2 linked regions of the Rattus norvegicus genome follow. The main gene of each other region encodes a partner of the protein of the gene in region 2 in a complex. Links are inferred from orthologs where the notes say so. Each region holds a gene or a part of one and is shown on either strand. Other genes may lie near its edges.

Region 1 (2,684 bases), on a different chromosome or scaffold from region 2:
CTAGGCCCCGAAGGATTAAGGTACCCACGCACATCTTACTACAGTTGCTTTCTTGTCTAGGGAACAAAATGCCCCCCCCACCATGCTTTATACAACCCCCCACACCTTTACCAAATTGCCTCGTCTAAAGCAGAATGAGAGCTCCCAACCAGTGTGAGGGCACCAAACCTGGGACATATGTGTTAACCCATCAAACCCAAAGGGATCAGAGGTCACTGTGGACCGATTTCTATTAATAGGAGGTAAAGCTCCTACAGGCATTAGAGGTAATGGCCTGACCGCCCTGTGCTGTTAACTCCTCTTGGGCCAGCATGTTAAAAACAAAACAAAACAAAACAAAACAAAACAAAACAAAACCAAAATATGTTTTGCCCAGGCAGAGGTGGGCCTTGAGAGGATCATGTTCACACGCACACATCCGGGCTCACTACCTCTCTCCTTAACGGTTCAAACCCCAAGCCCATGCCCTGGAAAGAGAAGGGGCAGCGGACGGTCGTTGGATATCAGTCAGCTCAGCTTTGCCACACATAAGGCGAGGGCCACAGCCACCAGCAGCACGGCGCTGAAAACGGTGGCAGCCAGGGCCCTGCTGGGGTCGCAGGGTCCCGCGCGCTCCTCTACAGAAATGCCACCCGCGGAGGACGCTCCGGCACTGGCACCGGACAGGAGTTCGGCGCCCGCCGATTGTCGCGCCTGTACAGTCCAGCGGGGCACGTTGACTTTCATTTCCATGTTGTCGATCATCTCGCCCACCTGGAGGACTTCGCGCTCCAACTGGGGCAGATCGGCGACGTCGAAGTCGCTCTCGGCTTCGTGCCGCAGGCTGCGGGCGCTCAGGGCGCGCGCGGCTACAGCAGAGGAGCCGCCGGCCACCCCAGTGCGAACAAGTGGCCGGCGCGGCGCGTGCAGCGGGAAGGCGGCTCCCAGCGCCAGTGCGCGCTGCATGTCGGCTTCGAGCAGGTCCAGGCAGCCCGAAAAGGCCACCCAGAGACGCTCAAACTCCGCGCGCTCCTCGGTAGCTAAGCTCCGGTCGCGGAGTGCGACGGTCAACCGGGAGCCGGTGGCCATGGCCAGCTCCCGCGCCTTCTGGCGGGTCTTCTGCAGTTCTTCGCGTAGGTCCTGTGTGTCCGCGGAGCCGCCCACAGTAAGCACTAAGTGATGGTAGCACGCTGTGGTCTTATTGAGCGCGTCCAGCAGCGCCTTGCACTCCTCTCTGGCCATGGCGCTGCCCTCCGGCGGTGGTGCCCCACTTGCACCCCTCAACGTCGCAGGTCGCCTCCAGCCCTGATGCCAATCTTGGGCAGAGCGGACTGAATGCTCCTCATGTCCTCGCCGCTGCTCTCAACGGAGCTCTCCAGAGACCCTCGACATGCACCTCTGTCGTTCCCACAGACAGAGGTAGTCTGGTTAGCTGCTCCCCAAACGCTCCTCCATTTTCCCTAGACGCGCTCCGAGTCACGCGTAGGGTCTTTGCATAACTTTCTTTTTCACGGCGGCTCCCTGAGAAACCCAGAGTGCAGACCCCATCCTGATCGACCCCAAGTCTTCAAGCTGAGCCGCGCGCCTTAGCCCTGGCCAAGGGCAGCAGGATCGTTTTCTAGGACACGCCTCCAGCCGCCTGTCTAGGCCGAGAGCTTCCTCCCTCCCGCCCTCTCGCCCCCCCGCCCCCCCGCCCCCCGCCCCCCCCGCCTCCCCCAACATCCCTGGACCAGGGGTAGGCGGGGCCCAGTCCAGAGAGGTCAAGTGTAGCTTTTCCTCTTCTCCCTTCCATTATAATTCTGGAACCTTAGCGCCATGCAAATCCAAGTTGTTTTGTTTTGTTTTGTTTTTTACTACTTTGCAGACTAGGAAAAGTGAGACTAGGTAGAAAGAAGGTTTAGCTTATCGGAGCCTATGCTAGTGAAGGGAAAGGACCAAGAGACCCTGTAGGCAACAGAGTAGGATGACTCGGAAGACTGGGCACCTCCAGTCTGCATCACCAGCAGCACAGGGCGATCGGCCTGGTAGAATTGTTACTTAGATGGGACTCTCTTTCTTCATCGCAGTCCAACACCATTTCAGGGACCCAGCTTGGACCCCACCCCTAATATCAGATCTTCCTTAGGTCCCGCCTCTCGAATTCTGGGCACGCGCACTCCCTGACTCTGGGCGGGGCTAGCCTGAGTAGGAAGCGCGGAGTCGCCTGGGCCCCACCCCCGACTGAACTAGACTTAACGATTGCTCTGTTTACGTGTCAGTCTCGGCTAAGATGACCTCTTATTGGACAGACTGGAGCAGGGTTCCGCCCAACGGCGGAGTAAAGAGGTAAGCTGAAGAGTGGAACCACCGCACCCGGGTGGTGGGCACTCAGGTCCCAGCCCAGGATCCGAGAGGTGCTGTCGTAGCACAGAGGTGAAACTATGTAGCCTCTTAAGTAAGTGTATTCTGCGGGTGTCCTCCACCGCCTCCCTACTCTCTGGGGGCGCCGAGGTCGGGCGGGGCCTGGGAGCGGAAGGGGGAGGGGCTCCCTGCGCTGAGTTGGATCCCCAGGCTGGGCTGCTGGGCACCCCCGCGCCCCGACCCGTTGCGGGCTAAGCCTCCTAGCTCTCCCGTTCTTCTGCTGTCCGCAGCGTGGCGCGCACGTTGTCCACTGCGTCCAGAGGGATGCATCTGTTCCTGGGGCTCCACGGCAGGCCCGAGTCCCC
Region 2 (3,645 bases):
ACATACCAGCACGTAATCCTCAACCCCTTTAAACTGTCTCTTGGGGACACTGGAAAGGAAGCCTTTTCAAAGCCCCATGCCCATATGTGAACTGGGACAGTAGCCATGGAGCTAGAACATTCTCCCAGCAGGGCCAGCTGAGGAGAATCGACAAACTCATCCTCATCATTTCCTAAAGCAACAGATCCAACCTCCCTTCCTACTCATCCAAGCCACAGGCAAGAAGGGGACAGTGGCCAGTGCTCCCTGCTGTCCCCACACTCACTGCACTGAAAAGACCATGCTCTCTGGGTCTCCATAGCAACCTAAGGCTCCTGCATAACCTTTTTTTTTCTCTGAACTCAGGCAGGGCCAACTGTAGGATTGTGTCGATTGGTTTGGGGGTGCCTCTGAGTGCCCCCCCCCAGCTGTGGATTGGGGCACCCTGTAAATCCCAGCACACTGTGGATCCCAAACACTCCTCTAGGCCTCTGCTGTGCTGTGCGCACAGTGGCTGCCTCGGGACACTTGGGGTTCTCAGATTTCAGACTTGGAAGCTGACACTCATGACTTTAACCACCACAGGAACCAATATCCTTTTGAGGCCCTTTAGGAGAGCAGGCAGGTGTCAGTGAGGACCAAAGAGGCCATGACACCTAAGGTTTAAGAAAGGGTTGGAGTCCCTGGGGAATCATGTCTTGGGGACAAGATAGCCTGTGGTTAGTGTTGAAGCCCCTTTCAAATGCAGGCGTGTGAAATGGACAGATAAAGAAATAAAAAGACTCCTGCCTCTTTCCCATCTCCGGAAGAGGGAGAGATGATGGGACTGGGTTTGGGGGACATTTGGCCGCTTAGGGATATAATTAGGCTACTTTTGACTGGTTTCCACAGTCCTCATTTCAGCCCTGCGCCTCCATCATTGCCATGAAGCCACAGACCCCACCCACACCCACACCCACACCCACACCCACTGTCCACATGCACACAACACCAGCCCCTCCCCCAGCTTCTTACTTGGCTACTTTCTTGGGTTTCAGCCTGGGCAGCTGTTGACCCATGTCCCCCAGAGGCTGCACCTTCCCGTGTGACACAGAAGGGCACTTCGGTGAGAGCCTGGCAAAAACTGGTGATGCCAAACAGCCCCGTCTCAGAAACCTGCCAAGGGACAGGGCAGCGCGGGCCTTGAGCGGGGCCCTGGGCTGGCTGTGTGGTCGTGAGCGGTCTACAGAGGTCTCGATGCTCTCAGTGACTGGGGGCCCAGGGTTGGCACCAGACCAGCTGGCTTCCCCCTTGCCCTCCAGCCCTGAAGAACCCTCCAGGGCCACTCGGATGGGCGAGGGGCAGATGGCAATGCTGGGCCGCCGGATGAAGCGACTTGGGGAAGGGAAGGGCTTCCTGGGCGAGCGGCAGGATGGTGAGAAGGGGCTGGAGGGAGAGGGAGGCACGCAGGTCCCTGTGTACACGGCCAGGTGAGGGCTGGGAGCCAAGTGCTGACCTGGCTGTGGGAAAGGAGAAAAGGAAGTTCAGTAAGGAGGCATGTCAGGGCCGACAGGCTAATCTCAACTAACACAATCTCCTTCCAGCCACCAGGGCTGATAGGCTATCCTCATCTAATTTGAGCTCCTTACAATCTTATCTCATCTCACTCAATCTCCTTCCAGCCACCAGGGCTGTTGGGCTATCCTCATCTAATTTGAGCTCCTTACAATCTTATCTCACTCAATCTCCTTCTAGCCACCAGGGCTGATGGGCTATCCTCATCTAACCAGATCTCCTTACAGACTATCCTCATCTAACTCAATCTCCTTCCAATGATGCCAATCTGTTCTGGGTGCCTCCAGGAGGGATCGATTGAAAAGGTTACCCTGAGGGACCTGTGACAGTGGCACGGCCAGCCATACAAACACCTCTTGCCAGAATCCATCTGCCACAAACTGACTTTCTTCCAGTCCTGGGGTGCTGGGGTGTGACCCTGCTAAACTTGATTACCCCTCAAATCAAATCTCCAGAAGCTTTTTGTCCCTCCTACCCCCAGGTCACCTCTTCGTCAAACACCATCATTTTAGACCTGGAGGATTTGACACTATTTTGTTGTTGTTGTTGTTGTTGTTGTTGTTGTTGTTGTTGTGTGTGTGTGTGTGTGTGTGTGTGTGTGTGTGTGTGTTCTGCTGGGAATTGAACTCATGACTTTGCCCACGCTAGGCAAGTGCTTTCCCACTGAGCCATCCGCACCCAGACATTTAACTGCAACAGTTTAATGTTAACTGATCAGTGCAAATGGGGAGACCTGCAACTGGTGCCCTGCTGGCCTCCACACCTGAGACCACACCCACCTGTGTCCACCCTGGCAAAGTGTTAGGGGCTCCAATACTAGCACCTGCCCAGGTACCCCCTCAGCCTGGGAACTGAGGAGAGAAAGGCTGTGTGTAGAACCTGAGGAGCTCACAGGAAAGAAGCAATTCTACAGTTGATTCTGTGATTCAGCAGAGAAAAAGGAAGGATCTCATTGTCCGGGCCATCATGGCCCCAGAGTTCAGAGTGTTGGTGCAGAAGGGGAGGGTGTGCCATTTTCTTCAGCTCAGGGAACCTGAAGGAGCTTTTTTCCAAGTTGAGCAAGGAAGTTAAGGCAGAGGTTTCCCTGAGCTCTTCACTGCCGCTACCTCTTCCTTTGTAGGTCACGGAGGAGGGTCAATTGTTGTGGGCTGCTGGGTCCCTTCTGAAGGCCTGCTGTAGGCATTTACCACAGGCCAGCCTGGCATGAACAGAAGCCCCGAGGAGAGGTGGGTGGTGTCTTAGGGACAGCTGAACCACTACTGCTCCCAAGAGAGGTCCATAAAGAACTACAATAAGGGACAGACCTTCCTTGCAACAGCCACACAGAGGTCTTGCTCAGACCCTAAGACTGAAGGGGGCTGCCAGAGCCCTGGGCAGGAGGTTACTAACTTCAGAGTGAGGCCCGCTCTCACAGTCATTCGAACAACCCAGGCCCAGTGTAGAGTCAGCTAGACTCTAGGGCAGCTGAGCAGAACGACCTCACTTGTTACCCAGCAATAGGAAATTAAGACAATGGCAAGATGTGCTTCTGAGCCTCGCTGTGTGACCCAAAAGCCCCTGCTGTCCCTATTAATGTGTGTGGGCCATCACCCTGCCTGTGTAGTTTCTATGTCCTGGAATTGAACTAAGAGAGAGGAGAGAGGAAGAGGGTTGGGTAAGGTGCCTACTAAGTGCATCTGAACCTCTCTGCCTTGGAATATGTCATGAACTCCAGAGATCACCCCGCTTTACAGATAAGAAGTCTGAGGCTCCTGGAGATAAAGGAACTTAACAGAGACTGTGTGGCTTGACTCTTCCTTTCTCCTCCTCTTTCCTTCCCTCTCTCTCTCCCTTCCCCATCTCACCCCTTCCTAGAGCCTAGAACTAAACGTTGGCCACTGTCTTTTCGTCACTTACCTGGCCTGAGATGGCCTCTCCCGGGCAAATGGCCACTTTCCTAGTTGATGCAGGACAGTTTTTTCTCCCCTAGCTCTTTCTCACAGGAAACCATGTGTTTCCACTCTGTTCCTTCCCGTGAAGGCCCGGGCTTGCGCTCCGTAAGCCAGCCCTCCAGTTCATGCGCCTTCTACCGATGATATGAGCAGCGAAGCCACGGCATGCAAGACAAGTGGT

Evidence for each region.
Region 1: Rgs9 (region 2) and Rgs9bp share a complex: the UniProt entries of both Homo sapiens proteins name them as parts of the RGS9-1-Gbeta5 complex. The link is inferred for Rattus norvegicus from reciprocal best matches to the Homo sapiens genes RGS9 and RGS9BP.

What each region holds. Positions count from the first base shown.
Region 1 is NC_086019.1:97,385,819-97,388,502, forward strand, and holds Rgs9bp (regulator of G-protein signaling 9-binding protein), read right to left. Parts: upstream 1,222-2,684; coding exon 508-1,221; downstream 1-507. UniProt on the Homo sapiens protein: Regulator of G protein-coupled receptor (GPCR) signaling in phototransduction. Participates in the recovery phase of visual transduction via its interaction with RGS9-1 isoform.
Region 2 is NC_086028.1:94,697,295-94,700,939, forward strand, and holds part of Rgs9 (regulator of G-protein signaling 9), read right to left. Parts: intron 1,479-3,645; coding exon 994-1,478; intron 1-993. UniProt on the Homo sapiens protein: Inhibits signal transduction by increasing the GTPase activity of G protein alpha subunits thereby driving them into their inactive GDP-bound form. Binds to GNAT1. Involved in phototransduction; key element in the recovery phase of visual transduction.